Drosophila melanogaster: one gene and its partners. The protein of the gene in region 1 interacts with the protein of each later gene in a pairwise test. Each region holds a gene or a part of one and is shown on either strand. Other genes may lie near its edges. The genes, in order: CG13627, CG11349, Cdc5 and mahe.

Evidence for each region.
Region 2: the proteins of CG13627 (region 1) and CG11349 interact in a two-hybrid assay, tested with the Drosophila melanogaster proteins (one large-scale study listed by BioGRID).
Region 3: the proteins of CG13627 (region 1) and Cdc5 interact in a two-hybrid assay, tested with the Drosophila melanogaster proteins (one large-scale study listed by BioGRID).
Region 4: the proteins of CG13627 (region 1) and mahe interact in a two-hybrid assay, tested with the Drosophila melanogaster proteins (one large-scale study listed by BioGRID).

What each region holds. Positions count from the first base shown.
Region 1 is NT_033777.3:24,710,876-24,717,956, forward strand, and holds CG13627 (uncharacterized protein), read left to right. Parts: upstream 1-1,904; 5' UTR 1,905-2,031; coding exon of another isoform or gene 2,032-2,100; 5' UTR 2,101-2,216; coding exon 2,217-2,222; intron 2,223-3,908; exon of another isoform or gene 3,909-4,102; coding exon of another isoform or gene 4,103-4,108; intron 4,109-4,174; coding exon 4,175-4,732; intron 4,733-4,842; coding exon 4,843-6,210; intron 6,211-6,271; coding exon 6,272-6,433; 3' UTR 6,434-6,555; downstream 6,556-7,081. Other genes in the region: CG46316 (uncharacterized protein), read left to right, coding at 2,032-2,100; Polr2L (RNA polymerase II, I and III subunit L), read left to right, coding at 6,743-6,837, 6,921-7,029.
Region 2 is NT_037436.4:4,471,312-4,475,614, forward strand, and holds CG11349 (uncharacterized protein), read left to right. Parts: upstream 1-1,756; 5' UTR 1,757-1,765; coding exon 1,766-1,768; intron 1,769-1,826; coding exon 1,827-3,713; 3' UTR 3,714-3,784; downstream 3,785-4,303. Other genes in the region: CG32248 (uncharacterized protein), read left to right, coding at 454-456, 528-1,073.
Region 3 is NT_037436.4:357,311-363,176, reverse strand, and holds Cdc5 (cell division cycle 5), read left to right. Parts: upstream 1-1,793; 5' UTR 1,794-2,048; coding exon 2,049-2,093; intron 2,094-2,162; coding exon 2,163-2,428; intron 2,429-2,487; coding exon 2,488-3,932; intron 3,933-3,991; coding exon 3,992-4,680; 3' UTR 4,681-4,777; coding exon of another isoform or gene 4,778-5,146; 3' UTR 5,147-5,326; downstream 5,327-5,866. Other genes in the region: CG1233 (uncharacterized protein), read right to left, coding at 1-750, 836-1,424, 1,478-1,519; Roc1b (regulator of cullins 1b), read right to left, coding at 4,778-5,146; CG1231 (uncharacterized protein), read right to left, coding at 5,718-5,866.
Region 4 is NC_004354.4:7,928,345-7,932,996, reverse strand, and holds the start of mahe (maheshvara), read left to right. Parts: upstream 1-1,614; 5' UTR 1,615-2,123; intron 2,124-2,681; 5' UTR 2,682-2,694; coding exon 2,695-4,203; intron 4,204-4,440; coding exon 4,441-4,652. Other genes in the region: Dhdds (dehydrodolichyl diphosphate synthase subunit), read left to right, coding at 1-460, 703-948.

The DNA of each region.
Region 1 (7,081 bases):
GTGAAGCTATGCAGCATTTTACTGTAGTTAGATTTTTTGTATAGAATCAACGTTTGCAGATAAAAACCAAAACGAAAACCGAAACTAATATGATAATTTTACAGGTTTAAGGCGGAAATGTTCATTTTTTTAAGGAATAACGATATTAAGATATCATAATTAACATAACAAATTGCAACTAAAAAACCAAGCAAAAAAAGAAAAACGAAAAAATATTTTTTATAATTTCGCAGCACTTTCACATGATACCCGCACACGCACACATACACATCCGGCAATGTGTGCTAAATAAATTGTATAAATAATGCAAACCCAAAAAAAAAAAAAACAATGCAAATCATATTAATGTAGTTACATTTTTTTAGTTTTTACTCGCTATTTATATGAGGTATATTTACACAACGGAAAACGTAAAAGTAGACATAAATAAAACGTAAAAAGCGATAAAAAAAATTCATTAATTTACATTGAAATTAAAGTAAACTAAACCGAAATCAGAGCAGAAAGCATAAAATGACAAATTAGTTTAAAATGGTCCTGCAAAGGCAAAAACAACAAAAAATAAACAACATTTTAAATAACAAATTGAAGAGCTAAAAATGCATATTTTAAACATTTGTCTAAAACGCAACCGAAAGAAAAAACCAAAAGAAATGATAAATGTATGAAATAAAAGGTATAATAATAATATTATGTTGTTAATGTTTAAAAAACCTTGTTAAAAATAATATTTCAAAATAAAATATAAATACGGAAAAAAATAGCAAAGAAATTACCACCAAACTGAGAGCTTTATGAAAGTGAAATTTTGATTTATGTCCCAAAACTTTGGGCCGCCAAATACTGACCCAAAAAATGGCTGGCCGGGCGTTATAAAATTCCAATGACCAATTGCGTTTAGAAATTGGATGTCGCGCCTTGCATAAAATGCGACCAATTATTGGGGAGCGTTTCATAAGCATGTCTCATTATCATCGAAGGGCCTTTGGTATATGTACATCCGAAATGTGAAGCCTATCATACGGAATCCATTGGTTATGGAAATTGCATCCATTCGTTTTTGGGACACATCTGAATTAAGTTACATTACCATCAAATATCGCTTAAAATACAGCTCAAGCTTTTCTACGAAACCCTTAGCCCCCAATTGAGCTGACTTCCGTACAAAAACTAATTCGAAAAAGCTTTCACGCATTCCTTTGAGTCTTCGACGAGTTTAGCCAGATATTTAATGCAGTTAAATATGAGTTTAAAATTATTGGAAAAATATTGGCAACATCTTAAAAAGTATGAAAATGTTATAATAATATCTTATTATTCCCAAAATATTGTTTGGTTCCGCTTTAAAATGTTTGCTATTTTCCCCACTGTGCCTGCCGCATTTCGTAATTTCAATCGGTGGCTCTGCTCCTGTTTGCTGCCCCAGCAAAAAAAAAGACTTAAAAAGTGGGGCCAACAGGTGACAGACGGCGGCATTGGGGGGCCATCTCTTGATCATGTGCGCCTGGTCCGCATTGCTTTTTAAGGTAAAGAGCGAGTGCTGACTTGCGACGACAACAAGTTCGCTGCTTAAGTCTTTTGTTTGGCGCCGTCTCTTTCGCTCCTTTCTTTCGCCGGCCAAGAACAGTCAATGGGAAAACACTTTCGTTGCGATTAATCGGCCACTTGCTGGCAATTCATGTAGCTGCTGGTCGCGTGCTGCGCTTTATCCACTGCAAACTAGTTTTATTTGTTGGCTTTTTATTTATTTTATTTTTTTTTTTTTGTATTTCATTCGGCGCCAGAGTCAAGAAAATCCGACCACTTTCTTCAGTGCGCACTTCCAATGCGAGTCGTCACTCCATTCCAGTGGAACTCCAGCGGATGGGCACATGGTTTTTGTCCGCCACCAGCGACCAACTAACAGTCAGTTGTCTTCGCGACTTGAACAGGTGCGGACGTCGCTGCTCCTCGAATTTATATTCGAAACTCTTTACAAATCTTTTGTGCGTGCAGTTTAAGATCGAAGAAAGCGCCGCGGCGCTCGTTGACATGAAGTTAATTGACGTGATTATATACCTAATTGCCATTTTGATCTTCATCTATTTGCTGCTGGAGTAGCAGAAGAAGCCAAAAGTTGCTCGACATTTGCCCCAGAGCTTTCTACAGTCTACCAGATCCATCAGCCAGCTACCCGACAATAAAACAACGAAAATCTCTAGCAAATCCGAAAGAAGATGAGGGTAAGTGATTCACGCGGGTATTGTGAGTTTGTTGGCCACAATTAGCGGTTATTAAAAAGTCTCTCACTGCGCACAGCATAACACAATAATGGATTGGCTTTAATTTCTATTGCAAATTCAATGGCATTTCTTCTTCTCATCGGCGATCAACGACTTCAGACTGAGATTGGCATTCAAATTTGGTATCACCTTCACCTTCGCCAGCAAAGCCAGCAAATTGCAATCGCTGCACAATGAAGCTGTAGCTTCTTCAATTGAATTGAAGTCGTCGGAATATTTGTCAAATTGCAAGGTGGCCGGCAAAGCGAGCACTTTCATTTGCAATGGGAGCACTTGATGCGCCAAGTTTCGCCAAGATCCAGACAATGGATGGCTTTACGTGCACCAATTGCATCGCACACTGTGAGTTGCAAGCTGCAAACTGTGAGGCACAGGCGGCTGCCTCAATGTGCAGCGGGCTTGAAAATAAAATGCTTGCCGCTAAAATAAAAGTTGCATTTCGAGTTGCAATTTGGGTTAACCACACCGTTGTTTATGGTCGACGCTGTGGCGACAGCCCGCTGATCAATAGTTCCGCCTAGGCCGTTGGCAAAAATCCTTTGTCAGGTTCAATGGCACTGCCGGCCAAGCCCAAAAGGAAACCCGAAATTATGCGAATTCCATTTGGACTTTCGTTGAACGGGTTATCCGCCGTCGCCGTGGGCCATTCCCTGCCAGACTTTTCAGTGTTTGGCATCGGGCACCCGTCTCCTGGCAGCAGTTCATTCACCAGCAGGCCGCCCCTGGTATTTGCATATGATTATGATGCATGTTGCAATGGCGACAAACTAACTAACTTACTAACTAACCACTCCATAAACAATAAGCCACCAATTTTGTGGCAATTACCCCGATCACCGCCGCTGCAGTCAGTTTCAGTTGCAATCGGCAATCCGTTTAAGCAAACGCAGCACGTAATCAATAACTATACGTATTGGACTCGCCTAGGCATTTCACCTCTTGATTGACGTCTGGCTAACGGCACACCGTATTGCCATTGTCATTGCCGCCGCTCCGGTGGCTCCAGTGGCTCTGCTGGTGCGCTGCCCAGGTGAAATTTCAATGTCCAGTGGCCGCCTCAAATTACCCACTTCCCCTTCCATCGACGAGACTAAAGAGACCCATGCCAGCCGCGCTGAAGAGGCACATACTCATTCTTTTCAAGGAATAACATGCATTTCATTTTAATGGTTCCTATATATGTTTCTATAAAAATCTGACATTTTACGCCTTAATAAATTTATTAGATGCATGATATGTATTTCTTTCTTCGTTATTGTGTTATACCTAAACTAATAGAGCCATTCCCTTTAACCTATATAAAATGCATGAAAAATCCAAAATACTCGTATATAACGTATAAGGTAGGCTGTAAGTTTCTAAAGCCAATTTCAATGAAAGTGTCACCAAATGAGTCAGTGATGCATTATACCCGCCGAATTGTAAACAATGCGACAGTAAAATTTATAGAACGAAGACATTTCGATGACGGACTTTTCACTTTCATTCTATGGCATTGTGGACAGAAAGTTTAATCAGCCATCGAAGCGGGGAAAATGGGCAAAGTATTATGGCATACCCGTATAAATATATATGTATGTATATTTATAAATGCGAAGCTACTTTGTTTGGCTCGTTTGCTTAAGCAGCTTTGGTTAAGTAGCCAATGGCAGGCGACGTGATAAAATTTTAGAAAACCGCCAATTTGTTCAAATTAAGGCCATTACAGTTTTGTTGCTGTCCAGCGATTACAAGACCCTCCTCCTTCCTCACCGCCCCTTTTTTTCTTCTTCGCCTTTGCCGGGCTTAGAAAGTTTTTATTTCTTTCGGCGTTTTGTTCGATGTCTGTATGTACGAGTAATTATGTTTTTGATTTAATGGTCTTTGACATTGTCCCATCCCATCCTCGCCAGCCATTTCTGCTGTTCGCACTGCTCCTGGCGCTGGCTAACTGCGAGCAGCGTCCACTGGTTTTCACCAACTGGCCACCGAAGAGCTCCAAGCAGCTGAGTCGTCCCGCCATTGGAGCTGGAGGTCCTGGATCCGCTGGAGCGCCTGGAAAGCAGCGCACGCTGGTCGTCCAAATACGCAGCGATCAACCGGTGCCCTTGGTACTGAAGGGTCGTCCTGGACATGGAGCGCACAGCCATGCCGCCCATCTGGCCCATCCGCATTCCGTGCATCCTGCACATGTCCTGTCGCACGCCCATTCACATGCCCATCTACACTCGCATCCGCTGATCCATGTGCCACATCAGTACCAGCATCAGCACCTACGCGGACCACCTCGTCCCATGAAGCTGAGTGGTCCGTCGCCCGTGTACCTGAAACCAGCTGGATCTCTAAGGAAACCACTGAAGATCAAACTGAACAATGTGAAGCCCAAGACGAAACCCACATTCGGATACGACAAGCCCTTTAAGTACGAGAAGCCCACTGCTGTGAGCTACAGCGAGCTGCAGAATCTGCCGGTAAGTGGAGTCCATTGAAAATGTCCTGCTCTTAAGATATCCTTATACTGCACATGCCCCCCACTCCCCTGAACATATAACATAACTCCATTCATGCTGATCCCCCACAGCTGGACACGCACAACAACTTCAACACCGAGCACTTTGCACCCATTTACACGGTACCCGCACCGAACCTGGCCGACAATCACCTGGACGTGGAGGAGGGTCATCTTGACACCTCCTACCTGTACAAGCCTCCTTCCCAGACCCAGATCCAAACACCATCCTCCTCAGCCCGTCCCCAGACATATTTGCCACCGAAGTACAGTGTGCATGAGGACGAGACCAATGACCAAACCATTCGTGATCCCATTTCGGGTTCGCAGAAACTCTTTGCCCCAGATCCGGATCCCTCGCTGCCCACCACCAAGATTCGCCCCGCCACCGAATCTTTCAATACGCCCAGCAACAACAAACCGCTGCCCGCCGACGTCCAGAGTAACCATCTGCCAGCCCAGCCATTGGTTCAGATTGTGGGAGCCCAGACGGCAGCCCAAACGGCGCCAGAGATCTATCCCATTCAGTATGCCCAGCCGGCGGTTCACTCCCAGTCCTTTATCGCCGCCATTCCGGCTGCCCACATTCCCATCTATAATCCCACCTACCTGGTGACGCAGTCCAACCAACTGTACTCGGCCCACAAGCAGCAGCTTTTCAAGCCCAGCTCGGAACCGGTGGTGGAAACGGGTTACGTGAACGCCGATCTCACCCAGGAGGTAGCCAGCAATGGACAGATACTGCAGGCAGCCAAGGATCCACATCACAACATCCATCCTGTACTTGATTCGGCGCCACAATATGCTGCTCTTATTGCCGCTCCGGCACTGGGTGATCCCAATGAGGGTGCCTACGAGACGGCCTCCTTCCACCTGCCCAATGTGGCGTCAGCGGTCACTGCCTCCGTTCCGGAAGGTGGCTTCGTGGTGTCCAACTTCTATGGCCATGCCCACGACTCTTCCCAATTGCTGCAGGCCTACGCAGAGGAGGAGGCACGTCGACAGCAACTGGAAACAGAGCAAGCCGCCATTGAGCTGCAAAAGCAGCAGCAGTTGCATCTGGAGGAGCTTAAGGCGCAGGCCCAGGAGCAACAGCAGCAGCATCAGCTGCATCTGGAGGAGCTGAGGGCTCAGGCGCAGTACCAGCAGCAGCAACAGCAGCAGTTCGAGGAACTGCAGGCACAGGCACAGGAGCAACACTTGCAGCAGCAACACCAGCAGCATCAGTTGCAGCTCTTGCAATTGCAGCAGCAGCAACAGCAGTTGCAGCAACCAGTGCAGCACCATCCGCCGCAGCAGCTGCAACAGCAGCAGCAGCAGCAGGTGGCTCAGGATCCAGCAGCAAGTGCATTCGAGGAGCACCAGCGATTGGTGCAGCAGCAACTTGGCGCCAACACGCCACTTCGCATCTTTGTGCCCGACGAGGAGGCCGCCGAATCGGTAGGTAAAATTAGACAAGAAATTCTTCCGTATGCTAACATTTGAGACTTTCCTTGTATAGCGACTGCAAAAGAGATCGGATGATGTGAAAAAGGGCACGGTGGAGGATGTGTCCAGTGCGGGTCGGAACGACGGCGACAGCGAGGAGTCAGCCAAAGATTTGTTCGAGGTATCCACCTCCGTCGAAGTGGCCGGCGAGCATCTCACGGCCAGCAGTAATTAGTTAACGCACTTTTAGTCTTCGACGCTGTTCAAAAATATTTATTTACACACTCATTTGTAAAAAACGCATTCATGTAGCGAGCAGTCGGTAGTTAATAAAAATAACCATTAATTTATTCAAATATTCGTTAGCGTTCTTTTTGAATGGATATAAGTTTTTGTGTTATCGATACATTGTAATGCTGGTGAGATAAAAATACAACTGCACTCTGGTCACACTCATGACAAGTAAAAACACATTTTACCAAAAACATTGTTGTGATTGCACATTTTTCGTGATTTAACTAAGAATTAGAGCCTGATCTACAAAATGATTATTCCAATCCGTTGTTTCACCTGCGGCAAGGTCATTGGCAACAAGTGGGAGTCGTATTTGGGTCTCCTGCAAGCGGAATACACCGAAGGGTAAGTCACGCGGGAAAGTCTCCTTTCCACGCCGCATTTCATCATATAATATATATATATTATATCTTACAATCCAATCCCAGAGATGCCCTGGATGCTTTGGGTCTAAAGAGGTACTGCTGCCGTCGCATGCTCCTGGGCCACGTGGATCTTATCGAAAAACTGCTCAACTATGCTCCTCTGGAGAAGTGAACGGCACAATGGAAACCATCCAAACTGGACTTGGGAATAAAAACTCTAGATT
Region 2 (4,303 bases), on another chromosome or scaffold:
CGATTTAAAAATAGCTCTCTGCTACTGTTTCTATTAACCCAATATCGGGTTTAGTCTTAGCAAAAGCTTGGGTGAATTAAAAAAGCTCTTCTTCAAGACGAAACCAAACTATCAGGTTTGCGATAAAATTGTTTTGGCAAAAAAATTAAGCTGTGATACGTGTATTCTTATGAATATTTATATTTAATATGACAGCAAAAAAATGAGAGTTTTAAATCCAAACTCCATGGCGTACCTAACTGATAAAAACAAGCCCCATATGGCGTCGTGGTCGAGGTATCTGTTTGCCCAATTAAACAAATTTTTCGACGCGAAGAAAAACGTTTCGTTGATTTATGATACTCAGCACTTCCGTTTGGATCCGCAGATTCTCCGACTTGTATAAAAGTACAGGAGTCGCCGGTCTAAGATATTATTCGGTTCGTTGCTCCTAAAGCAAACAGATCATCTAAAATGGTAAGGATCTCCCATCTGTATTGCGGATTATATTAGTTGGCATATTATTCTATTTCGATTTTTCCCTGTAGAAATTCTTTATCTTGACCTTGGCCGTGGTTGGCTGTGTGGCCGCCGAATCTGGCTACAACTACAATGCTCCCCGCCAGGTAGCCGCCTCTGCCCCGGCTCCTGTTTTCCAGCAAGCTGCCTCTGCTCCGGCTCCAGTGAGGACCTACGTGCCCCCAGCTCCAGCTGCCTCTGCCCCAGTGCAGTCGTTTGCCCCTGCCCCAGCTCCAGTAGCTGCTCCTGCTCCCGTTTTCCAGCAGGCCGCCTCTGCACCCGCACCAGCCCGCACATACGTGCCTCCCGCTCCCCATGTCCACCACCATGCCGCCGCCTCAGCTCCAGCTCCCGTTCAGTCCTTTGCTCCTGCTCCAGCTCCCGCCCCCGCCCCCGTGCAGTCCTTCGCCTCTGCTCCAGCTCCTGCTTTCGAGTCCTCCGGACCGGTGTTCGAGGCCGCAGCTTCCGCCCCCTCTGCCGCCCGCTCCGGATACGATTATAGCCAGCCCGCCGCCAGCCAGCAGGGATACAAGTACAAGACCGTCCGTCGCCGTGTGTTCAAGCACCGCGCTTAAACGATGATGATGATACGATAAAATGCGACAATAAAAAACTCGAATATTAAATTTATAAAAACATAGTTTTATTTGAGCATTAAAACACTAATAAAGATAATATGATAATTTGATAATTAAACAAGAATGATATGGTGTATAGTTTTAGCAAAAGAAGCGCGCAAAAAAAAAAACTATAAAACCTAAAACAACATTTCAAAAGTGCTAAAATTCTTGCTAGAAAAGAAAAAAAAAATCGCAAAATTAAATTTTATTAATAATTGTTAGTTAGTACTGGAGTGCAGTTTTTCTTATCCATAACTAACAATCAGTTGTTAATGATAAATTAGTTTGAAGCTTCAATTGTATTACTAGGCCAAATTCACACCTGGAAACGAAGTTCAAAGAACCCATGCGTTATCGCATAAGTGTGCAGCGCACTTGGGCCAATAAATTTAAACGCTTTGATCTGACAAATTTACGGGACACTTTCGTTGTGCTTCAGAATATTCAATAGAATTTAAATTGGCGGCTATTCAATAAGAACAAATGGGTCACATAAAGCGCGGAATCGATTTCTCACGCTCGGCAACAGGTTTCGCTTTCAACTGTGGTCTTTTTTGGGGGCTCGATGTGGGGATGCAACAAAAAAGATCCCGAAGAGAGTATATAAGTTGCATCTACAGCTGCTTACAGTCACTGGCACTTTAGCAATGGTAACGGATCAACGATAGGTTCTAGGTTCCGCATTTCACCAATCCATTTTTATTTTAGAATGTCCTCGTGATCCTGGTTCTATGCCTTATGGCAATCGCATGTCTGGCGGACGTTTCCCATGTGAAACACCACAAGCACCAGCGGCATCATCACTCCAGGGATCACGAAGATGACGATGAGGAGTCCCATTACCTACCTCCCCACGAGGAAAAGGAGGTGGAGCAACCTTTTTACAAGAAGGAGAAGCACACCAGTGAAAAGGTGGTTTACCACAAGGTAGAGGAGCACGAGGAGCCCAAATACTACAAGGAGCATCAACATGAAGAGCCCAAAAAGCAGCGAGTGGATCACTACCATCACTATGACAAGAAGCCAGAAGTAAAGACCCAGCACATTCACTACAAGCATAGCAAGCCCCATGTCCGTACGGATTACAATCAGGACTTGTTCACCCCAGCTGCTACCCAAGTGGTTTATCGCCGCCGTCGTCCTAGTCGAATTCTATACGCCAGTGCCCCCAACTCGGTGTTCCACACCCACACGCAGATCAACGTGCAGTCCCAGGATTCGGAATTGAATTCCCTTACTCGCCCAGATCGTGCAGCAGGAGCACAGGATCCTGCTGGGGCTCAAGCACCGACTGGAGCCCAGGCACCAGGATTTCGACCCAACTGCCAGTTTGTTGGACCTGGAAACGTACCACCTGGCTGTGGACCCTCTGATCCCATAGGTGCTCAGCTACCAGCCAGTGCTTTGGCTCCCACTGGTGCTAATCTTCCGGCCAATCAACCTGTTGCCGGCGGACAATTGGCTGTTCTGGGTAACGGTCAGCGACCTCCACGTCCAGGTGGCTATGGAGGTGGATATGGCAACCGACTCAACTTTTTTGTTGATCCTTCGCTGGGCGCTCAGCTGGGAGCCATAGGTAATGCTGGAGCTGGAAATCAACAGGCTGCCGGAGGAGGTCAGCTTGCGGGAGGAGCTCAACTTGGAGGGAGCCAAGGATTCGACCCTTCCTTTGGTGCCCAAGCAGCTGCCGGAGGACCATTTAACACTGGTTTTGGAGCTGGTCAAAGACCTCAAAGACCTGCGCAAAACCAATATGATCCCAACCTTCAGCTAGGTGGCCCTTTTGACCCCTCCGTGGGTGCTCAATTGGGCGCAGGTCAGGGTGTTTCTAACCAAAGACCAAGTGGACAGGGAGCATTTGATCCTTCTACAGGTGCTCAATTGGGCGCAGGTGAGGGTGTTTCTAACCAAAGACCAAGTGGACAGGGAGCATTTGATCCTTCTACGGGTGCTCAATTGGGTGCAGGTCAGGGCTTTAACCAGAGACCAAGTGCACAGGGAGCATTTGATCCTTCGACAGGTGCCCAACTTGGAGCTGGACAAGGCGTGCCTAACCAGCGACCCAATGCAGCTGGACCAGGAGCTTTTGATCCCAATCAGCGACAGTCCGACCCCTCCATTGGAGCCCAATTGGCAGCGGGACAAGTACCACGCCTCAACAACCGACGACAGCGCAATCGATCCAACTACCAGGGTCTCAATGTGCTGAATGGAAACGTTTTCGGACAACCCCATCTCCAGGGACCCACAAATGCGCTGGGAAATCAACAGGACACCAACATCATAGACGGCAACTTCTACAGCGATCCTCATCATGGACACCAGCGGGCTTTGGTATCGGTTAATCCTAATCAGCGTTCAGTCCTTATACCCGATGACGATGATGCGGACGATGATGGGCAGCTAGGATTTCTGGGCTTTGCGGCTAGTAACAAGCAGTCCTCTTATGTGGTTGCTCCCAAACAACTGCGATCTCATAGGCGCAGTTCAAAGCGAAACAATGTGGATCTTAAAACATCTGCTTCGGAGTACGACACTGACTATCGTGAGGATGGCTATCACTACCAGAAGCCCAAACAGTCATTCGAGTTTTAAGTATTTTAAAACAGAACATATTATAACATAAATTAAATCATACTTATCAGCATTTGCTACAAGAGCATACCAAACAAACCTTGATTACTTATTTAAAGCATACTTTCAGGCGAAAACTATGGCGGCTACTTCCGTTTCCGCTCAAGGTAGCTTTAAAGTTTGTTGAGAAATCGACACGGGTTTTCAAGCTGAGCTTTATAAATTGAGCTTTTGATTAAGCTTTACACCAGACTACAAATATCTATATTGCACATAAAAATATCCAGATATTTACCAACTATGTATATTTGATTTTTTTGTTTGCCTTTAAATTACATACATTAACATAAATATACACGTGCAAATAGATTAGGGCATTTATGTTCTGGCCATATCTGCGATTGCCTTTGATGGAAAAGGTGTATATATTGTCCATTAGGGTACGCGGAAAGGAAACTAGTTCAGAGCTATATAGAAATAGAGGCACAAAGACATTTTTTTTATAGTGAGAGAGGCAAAATGAATTGTCGACATAAATTTATGCAATCATTTAGATTCGATTCTCATGCAAATCCAATCAACTGAAATCAAAATAGAAATAAAACAAAATC
Region 3 (5,866 bases), on another chromosome or scaffold:
AGGGAAATGCCTCGGAACACATCTGTGCGAGCGGGGCGAGGCTGGGCTCGAATCCTGGAAGCTGACACGTGGGCGTTAGTAGTGTCTCCGACTGGAAGACATCACCATCTGCTCCTCCTACAACCAGGCCACTTTGTCCTGGCTCTGCTGCCGACGGCATGGTGCTATTGAATCCCAGACCGGGCAGAGCAGATGGCAAAACCATCGGTTCCTTGAGGATGTCTACATTGCGGATATAAATCTTCGGCTGGCGCGGCTTCTCCGGCTCCCCGACAACATCAGGAACTTCAGGGAGACTATTGTCCGTATTGACCGAATGGTTCTGCAGCTGGAAGTCGAACGGCAGCAAAGCGGTCTCCCTGAGCACGTCCACGCTCTTGATGGAGATCTTCTGGATGGGCTTTGGCGGCGGAGCTGGTAAATTCGCAGCAGGTGCTGTTGGCATTGTCTGTTCGGTCGGCGATGCACCTACAGCCACACCTTCCAGCAGATCAAGAATGTTAGCGGCGGACCCGCTATCCGGCATTAAGGGCGGGAAATCCGGGAGTGGCTCCCTTAGGCAATCTACGCTTTTTATAAAGATGCGGCTCTTGGGTCGATTTTGGCTCTGCGACATCTGAGTCTGCTTTTTAGTTTGTGCTTCAGTGACTTTTCTGCCCATAAGCGCAAGTGTCTCACTGTCCTCCATTTGATGGTCCAAGCTGAGGTGCAAGCTGAGCGCATCGCTGGTGTAGAAAATGTTTGAGCAGCCTGTCGAAAAACACGTGAAAAGTGAATGCAAATATGATGAAGCATTCCAGCAGAGCACTCATATTGAAGGCGCACTATGCCTCACCTGGACACTGTTTCCTGTGCTGCTCCATATAGCAGTTGCCCTGACTAAGGTGTTGCTGAAGACGCATCTGGCAGAGGCTTAAGAATGGACAATTAGGACAGCGCAGGATAAGAGGCGGACCCTCCTGAATGATTGCCTTGCCCTCCACGCTGGCGCAGCTGGAATTTCGAGTTGGTGGCGTTGGCGTGGCATTCAGGCGATCCTTGGCTGCCGCTTCCGCAAGTTCCGACTTGATTAGTTCCTCCGACTTAATTTCCGCTGTACGCCTGCGGAAGGCATTGCGGTAGCTTTTCTCTGGTTGCTGCAAGTCGGTGGTGTGGATCTGGACAAAGGGAATGCCCTGATTGGGCTGGGACTCCACCGCCACCTCAGTAGGTGATCGATTCCCGCCATCGGCCAGCCACAAAGTAGTTCCAGAAGGGGTGGTGTTTGCAGCAGACGCGGAGGCAGATCCGGATCCCGATCCGATGACCAGCTCTTCGTCAAAGAATCCCCCGAAGTTGGAGTCCTGCTCCAAGGAGTGAACCGGCGTGGAAAGCGACAGGTCTTGGTGCGGATGTGTAGGATGCGGATGCGACAACGGGAGCAGCTGGAAGACACACGGCGTGTTTTTCTGGCCAGAGGTACTCGCTGGTTGCTCACCTGGTTGCCGCCGTAATATCCCGGATAGGTCGCATCGCTCATCGTGGGTGCCTTCCTTGGTCCAGTTGATTCCCGGTGCCGGATTCCGGTTGCCGGTTGCCGGTTTTCCGCTTCCTGGGCACACGCCTCTTAATTCCGCATCACAAAAATTGGCATTACGCAGAAAAAAAACTTTTCATCACAAAATAACTGATAGCGAACAGCTGTTGCTGTACACAGTGTGGCAGCGGTGTTTGCACAACTATATTCGGTCACACTGTCGCGTTATGTTATGTCGTGTGTATAGGCCCTTTATTAAATTGAATAATTTAAGTTACCAATATTAAGACCGAAGTTAAATCAAACGGTATACGAAGACTAAATACAATATAATGAAATTTTTTTGTACTAAGCTAGAATAGTTTAACTAGAGGTTCTATAAATATACCAAAACGTGCTGGAGATATCGCTGTTATCGAAGACTAACCATCGCTAGCGGCTACTGCAAAAAAAAGAGCGGAGTTTCGTGGACTCGAGTGAAAATTGTGAAAATCCATTGTATACGCGACAGAAAGCAACATAAGGCCCCAGAATGCCGCGAATAATGATCAAGGGCGGCGTGTGGCGCAACACGGAGGTAATTATCCCAATAGTCTATCGGTTAACCACACATGGCTTACATTGGCTACCGATTTCATTTTCCCAGGATGAAATCCTCAAAGCTGCGGTTATGAAATATGGCAAGAACCAGTGGAGTCGAATTGCCTCCCTCCTGCACAGAAAGTCCGCCAAGCAGTGCAAGGCCAGGTGGTACGAGTGGCTGGATCCCAGCATCAAGAAGACCGAGTGGTCCCGTGAGGAGGACGAGAAACTGCTCCACTTGGCCAAGCTGATGCCGACGCAGTGGCGCACCATAGCCCCGATCATCGGACGGACGGCAGCCCAGTGCCTGGAGCGCTATGAGTACTTGCTGTGAGTCCAACGCACAACATACTAAGTAGAAAATTTCTGATCCCTTTCCTGCCGTACAGAGACCAAGCCCAACGCAAAGAGGATGGCGAGGACACGATGGATGATCCTCGCAAGTTGAAGCCCGGAGAGATTGACCCCAATCCAGAGACCAAGCCGGCGCGGCCCGATCCCAAGGACATGGACGAGGACGAGCTGGAAATGCTGTCCGAGGCACGCGCCCGCTTGGCCAACACGCAAGGCAAGAAAGCCAAGCGCAAGGCTCGCGAAAAGCAACTGGAGGAAGCCCGCCGCCTGGCCACTCTCCAAAAGCGGCGCGAACTTCGTGCCGCCGGAATTGGCAGCGGAAATCGCAAGCGGATCAAGGGAATAGACTACAACGCCGAGATTCCCTTCGAAAAGCGACCTGCCCACGGATTCTACGACACTTCCGAGGAACACTTGCAGAAAAATGAACCCGACTTCAACAAGATGCGGCAGCAGGACCTAGATGGAGAACTCCGCTCAGAGAAGGAGGAACGCGAACGCAAGCGGGACAAGCAGAAGCTGAAGCAGCGCAAAGAGAATGAAGTGCCCACCGCAATGCTGCAAAACATGGAGCCCGAGCGGAAGCGCTCCAAACTAGTCCTGCCTACGCCGCAGATTTCCGACATGGAACTACAGCAGGTAGTCAAGCTGGGACGCGCCAGTGAGATGGCAAAGGAAATTGCCGGTGAGAGCGGCATAGAGACGACGGATGCTTTGCTAGCCGACTACTCCATTACACCCCAGGTAGCAGCCACTCCACGTACTCCGGCTCCGTACACCGATCGCATCATGCAGGAGGCCCAAAACATGATGGCCCTCACCCACACAGAGACGCCACTCAAAGGTGGCCTGAACACACCGCTGCACGAGTCAGACTTCTCCGGCGTGCTGCCCAAGGCGGCCTCCATCGCCACGCCTAACACAGTGATTGCCACGCCGTTTAGAACCCAACGCGAGGGCGGAGCAGCCACTCCCGGCGGATTCCAAACGCCCTCCTCCGGAGCCCTAGTTCCCGTAAAGGGGGCAGGAGGGGCTACGGGTGTCGTCAATACACCTGCCTACGTGAGGGACAAGCTAAGCATCAATCCTGAGGAGAGTATGGGCGTCACCGAGACCCCAGCACATTACAAAAACTACCAAAAGCAACTAAAGTCTACACTGCGTGACGGTCTCTCCACGCTGCCCGCTCCACGGAATGACTATGAGATCGTGGTGCCTGAGCAGGAGGAAAGCGAACGCATTGAGACCAACTCAGAACCCGCCGTCGAGGATCAGGCGGATGTCGACGCCAGGTTATTGGCTGAACAAGAGGCGCGCCGAAAGCGAGAGCTAGAGAAGCGCTCCCAGGTTATTCAGCGTAGTCTCCCGCGACCAACTGAAGTGAACACCAAGATTCTGCGACCGCAGTCCGAGAAACAGAACCTTACGGAACAGCAGCAGGCCGAAGAGCTGATTAAACACGAAATGATCACCATGCAGCGTGAGTAAACCCAACGTTTCCATTTTAACCCAAGTAACTAACGTCCTTTTTCTTGGCAGTGTACGACTCGGTCAAGGATCCCGTGCCTGGTCAATCGCAGCACAAGTTGGAACAGCTACAAAGCTACTTTAAGGCCAATCCCTACGAGGACATCTCGCAGCAAGAGTTGGCGAAGGCCAAGCAAATGCTCACCGAGGAAATGGAGGTGGTGAAGGAGCGCATGGCGCATGGCGAACTGCCCCTAGACGTTTATGCCCAGGTGTGGCAGGAGTGCCTCGGCCAGGTTCTTTACCTACCCTCCCAACATCGCTACACACGCGCCAATTTGGCCAGCAAGAAGGATCGATTAGAGTCTGCCGAGAAACGGCTGGAGACAAATCGCCGCCACATGGCCAAGGAAGCCAAGCGCTGCGGCAAGATCGAGAAGAAGCTGAAGATTCTCACCGGCGGCTACCAGGCGCGCGCCCAGGTGCTGATTAAGCAGCTTCAGGACACGTACGGCCAGATTGAGCAGAACTCTGTCTCACTCTCGACATTCCGCTTTTTGGGCGAACAGGAGGCCATCGCTGTGCCGCGACGCCTGGAATCGCTGCAAGAGGACGTGCGTCGCCAGATGGACCGCGAGAAGGAGCTGCAGCAAAAGTACGCTAGCTTAGTGGAGGAGCGCGATTCGCTTTACTCTCAAATCGAACATATAACTGGCGTCAGGCCCACGGCCCAGCAACTCCTGCCCGACCAGGAAGCGTAAACCTTCTTTTGGAACCCAAGTCCGTTCTTATTTAATTACAGTAATTACATGCCAGCAAACAGCTATCACCACCTAATATCCCGATCCATATTCCTCGCTAGCGGCCGTACTTCTGGTAGACCCACTCCTTGTTGTCCAGCGGACAGACCAGGCGCGTTTTCAACCAGCGCGCGATGCAGTGGTAATGGAATGCGTGGTTGCACTCGCCCCAAGCCACAGTGCACTCGTCTTGGTTTGCATTCGGGTCCGCCTGGCACTCGATGCACAGGTTCATGATGTGGTTACGGCAGATGGCACAGTTGTCCACTGCTACGTCCCATCCCCACATGGCGTGCGCAACCCATTTCTTCACCACAAAGCGCTCCGTCCTGGCCTGGACAGCTCCTCCACTACAGGATGGCTCTTCGTCATTGAAGTCCATGTCGTGGAAGTCCTCCGTCTCCTCAACCTCTATCTCCTCGGCCATGGTGTGAAATTACGAATTTTTTTTCTTTTTCAAAATACAACACTTATTTTCGTATTCGAATTTGATTTGAACTATTTTAAATTCCATTTGTTTTTGGCCTGACAGTTAATAAAAAAAAGTTGACCACTACCGATTTATCTACGAAATAACAACGGCGAATAATTTTAAAAATAAATGCAGAAAAGAAATTAAACCTTGTGATCATATTAAGTGGGGCTCAAGAAAGCTTATCATCGGTAAACCACTTTTGAATCCCTAAATTTAGACAATTTTTTTAAACAAGAAAGAATGTTATAGTCGAATTTCTCGACTATCAGATACCAGATAGTGGGAGTGAGTTTGAGAGAGAAATTTCAAAATTATCTTGGCATATCGATAGAAATTTGTATTCCTTTTAACGAGTTTAATATACCCCTCTATGAGTAATGGGTATGATAACAAATTACGGTTTTTATAATGCCTTTCTTAAACAAAATAGCTGTTTCCCAAACTCGAATGTCATTATTATTAAGGAAGCTTTACTGCTAACGGGAAGTCATGGCTTAGGCTTAGGGTATATCAAATAAATTCTTTACACGTTCTTCTCAGTTTGGGAAAGGTTTTTTACCCTCTTCAGGTGCTTCTTGCCAATAAAGTGCTGTTGCAAGGTGCTCTCATGGTTCATCATCATGTTGCAGGGCTGGCAGTAGTACTGACCCATTGGAGTGCGATACAAGGCCA
Region 4 (4,652 bases), on another chromosome or scaffold:
CCTGGACGTTGGCGTCCGCGAGGTGACCACCTTTGCCTTCAGCATCGAGAACTTCAAGCGTTCCAACGAGGAGGTGGAGGGTCTGTTCAATTTGGCCAGAGAGAAGTTTGCCCGCCTGCTGGAGGAGACTGCTCGACTGGACGAACATGGCATCCGCATTCGGGTGATTGGTAACATCGAGCTACTGCCACACGACTTGCAGAAACTAGTGGCTTCGGCTATGCTTAGCACGGAGCGCAATGACAAGCTCTTCCTGAACGTCGCCTTTGCGTACACGTCGCGGGATGAGATTACGCAGGCGGTGGAAACGATACTGCGGCATGGCAGCCAGGATTTGGCGGGCGAGGACATCAGTGAGCGGTTGCTGGAAGAATGCCTCTACACGCGACACTCGCCGCCACCGGATCTGGTGTTCCGCACCTCCGGCGAGACTAGGCTAAGCGACTTCATGATGTGGCAGGTGTGTAGAAGGATCTCTTCCAGGAACAGTTGTTTTTAGTCACCCCCTTTGGCAGATTTCCCACTTATTTAGTTTGATTAGTGATTAAGTAGTTACCTGTGCCCAATGTTCATTCGTTGAATTTCGCTCTGCGATTGCATCATTTTTATAAAATGCATTTAAAAATTGAGATCTTGACAGTTTTGCGGTCTTTGATAAAGTGGAAAAGCTTAAATATTAAACGACTGTTTTTACCATTTCAGTTAAGCACATCCGTGTTGTACTTCAGCAACGTCCTGTGGCCGCAGATCACTTTCTGGCATTTCCTGGCCAGCATTCTGGCCTACCAGCGTGATCGCTGGCAGCTGGACGACTTTCGGCGAGCGGAGAGGATGCAGAGCTGCCAGCTGGCCAAGGCGACTGACTTCTACAGCGAACGCGTCCAGAATTTCCTGACCACCATCGATGAGGATCGGCGGAAGCTGCTTGTGCGACTGGCCGCCAACTAAGTCCCTTCTGAAGTCCCGCCTGAAGTCCCTTCGATTTCCACATGATGATGATGTTTGTGATATCAGTGGGGAATAAAATCGTGTAAATAGCGTATACCTGTACGTACAGATGCTACTGTTTTCCGGCCTATGCAATAAGGCTATCCGCCTTTCAATATATGTGCCGTTGGAGATTTCATCACCTAAATGCACTTGTTTAAGACATTCAATTAATTTGTAGCCGAATTGTGGGCTTAGCTAGATTGTTTTCACTTTCGGTCGTAAAAAGTGTTTGCCTTCCATTTGATAAGTAAATTAAAGAATTAAAAAAAAAGCAACAATTTGTTTAAATGTGGAGGGGGGAAAGGAATAATTCCAAATTTATGTAAATTGCAATATAACACCCACTTATATTTGTATATTTTATATATATGTACATATGTGTAGCCTTTTAAGAATTGGTATCACAAAACTTTTTTTACGTGCTTAATTTATTTTTATCTAGATATCATTCTTGTATTTTTTATATATCAATTTATTTTGGTAACTCGCTAAATGTTTTTTAATTTTAGTATTTGTTGGTTTTAAATTTTAGCGGTAAATTAAGTGCAATAATGGTTAAACAATATTTATCGATAGTTTTGCAGGTAACTATCGATGCCAAAATACATCGAACGTATCCCATCACCATTGACTTTTGTTCCAGCTTTACAGTTCACATGCAACTTTCTGCTGAGCGCGTTTTTTTTTGTTATAAAAATCTAAAATACAAGAATTAGATTTAGCGAACTGGCTCCTAGTGTTTAACCAAGTACACCTTTAGTTAGCATTACGGTTACTTTCCCGTGGCGAAGGAATAATTGCAAAACCATTAGCTCTCGACAAAAGTTGTGCGAAGCAAAAAGAGAAGTTCGCGAGAAGAAGACGCCTGTGAGCGTGACGAAGAGAGCCGAGCGAGAGAGTGAAGAATATCGAATCGAACGGAACAGGGCCTCGAAAGAGAACGTGAAGGAAACGGATCGAAAAATCGCAGACTTTGACAACCGAAGAAAAACCCACATTCAAGACACAAAATTCCGGTTGCCTGAGGGGCAAATGTCAAATTGCGGCGCATAAATTACATTAATTTAAAGCTCCCCGCACAAGGCTCATCCAAATTTTCACACATAGGCAGCAGTTGTCGCAACAGAAAAAAGGTGAGTGCGTGTGTGTGTGTGGCGTGAAAAAGCGGTGCACTTTTTAAAAGTGTTTTTCTAACTAAATGAGAGCGTGCTCGCGCTTCTTTACCTATGCGGCGCACTCTACTTGTGTGTGTGTGGCGTGAAAACGCGGTGCACTTTTTAAAAGTGTTTTTCTAACTAAATGAGAGCATGCTCGCTCTTCTTTCCCTTTGCGGCGCACTCTACTTGTCTCTCTCGCGCCTGGTTTAGCTCTCCCGCTATTATTTTACCTCTTTGCGTCTCGTGTGCATTTGGCGATGCTGTATTGATTTTTTTCGGTGGTGGCTAGTGGGTGGGTTAAAGAACTGCCCCGCTCTTCACCATTCGAAACTAAGTCCCCCACTTCGTCCGACCCCCTCCCTCATGCCATAAAGCCCCTGCCCAAAAAGTCAAACGCGTTTCGTTTCTCTTTTTATTTTTACTCTGAGAGAGAGAGAGAGGCTCTTGACAGTTACAAAAGTGCAAAGTCTTTGTGGTGGTGTGTGCGAGGTATCTCCATGCGATTTCGCTGAACTTTTGTTCATTTCTCGACAGGATTCAGCACACGATGTTCGCTGGAGCATATGCACCCAACGCTGGGGGCGTTCAGCAGCACACTGGCGGCGGTTACTATGGCAATGGTGCCGCAGCAGGCGCTGGCGGTAGCGGCAACGGGGCCCCACGCCACGAGCGTCAATACTATCCGCGCGGCAATTTCGGCGGTGCCGCCGGGGGAGCTGGCATCAATGGAGCAGCCACTGCGGCTGGAAGCATGCACTTTGGTCAGCCCTATGGCGTGATGACCTATGGCATCCAGAATGGTCTGGGAATGGGAGCCGCCGGTTCTGGTGGCGGCAATCCGTATCGCCAGCAAAACGGTGTTGCATTCGCCGGTAATGGACTTGGAGGAGGCGCCGGTGGCGGATCCGGAGGATCTGGCGGATATGGAGGACAGCGTGGCAAAAATCCAACCTACGCACAGCGTTATCAGAAGCCGAACAACGGCGCCGGAGTTGCTGGTGGCTACCAAAGCAATAACTACAATGCTGCCGCCTTAGGCATGCTTTCCAAAGAGGAGCGCGCCGAGATCCAACGTGAAAAGGCCAAAAATCCCGGCCGAAATTTAGTGAAACCCAAGTGGGAGAACCTCGAGCCCTTCCTCAAAGATTTCTACAACATTCATCCGAATACACTGGCCAAATCAGAGCAGCAGGTGGCCGAGATCCGGCGCGAACTGGAAATCACCGTGTCTGGCAATGAACTACCACACCCGGTGGTCAGTTTCGAGGAGAGCTCGCTGCCCGCTCACGTCATTGAAGAGATGAAGCGCCAGGGATTCACCAAGCCCACTGCTATCCAATCGCAGGGTTGGCCCATTGCCTTAAGTGGCCGCGATTTGGTGGGCATTGCCCAGACCGGTTCAGGCAAGACGCTGGCATACATGCTGCCTGCCATCGTGCACATTGGCAATCAGCCGCCAATAATTCGCGGCGAAGGACCCATTGCTCTAGTGTTGGCCCCCACCCGGGAGCTGGCCCAGCAGATCCAATCTGTCGTGCGAGACTATGGACATCTGTGCAAGCCAGAGATTCGTCACACTTGCATCTTTGGCGGCTCATCGAAGGTGCCGCAGGCACGCGATCTTGACCGCGGCGTCGAGGTGATCATCGCCACACCAGGACGTCTGATTGATTTCCTTGAGAATCGCAACACTAACTTGCAGAGATGCACTTATCTGGTGCTGGACGAAGCCGACCGCATGCTGGACATGGGTTTCGAGCCGCAGATCCGTAAGATCATTGAACAGATTCGTCCCGACCGTCAGGTGGTCATGTGGTCCGCAACCTGGCCAAAGGAGGTGCAGGCCCTAGCCGGAGACTTTTTAAACGATTATATCCAAATCAACATTGGTTCGATGAACCTATCGGCTAACCACAACATTCGCCAGATTGTCGAGATCTGTACAGAAATAGAGAAGCCGCAGCGCTTAGTATGCTTGCTCAATGAGATTTCTCCCATCAAGAATTCGGGAAACAATGGGAACAAAATTATCGTCTTTGTGGAGACCAAGATCAAGGTGAGTTCTAATTCGATAAATGGCTTAAAGAATTCGAAATATTCTTTCGATTTACCATTTTAAATTGTATTTGTTCTCTTTTCGTTTTACTTCGAAGGTTTATCAACATATTCTTTGTTTTTTATAGTTGCATTTTACTTGCAAAAATCCGAAATGACCCGTCAAGAATATATTGTTTATGTGATATTAATTAGAAGCACCCCACTAATTATCAACCGTTTTCTTGCCCTTATCCAGGTGGAGGACATCTTGCAGATCATTCGAGCCGAGGGTTACAACGCCACCTCAATTCACGGCGACAAGACCCAGAATGAGCGTGATTCAGTGCTAAAGGATTTCCGTAACGGCAAGTCCAACATTCTGATTGCCACCGATGTGGCTTCGCGCGGCCTCGATGTCGAGGATCTGCAGTACGTAATTAACTATGATTACCCGAACTCCTCGGAGAA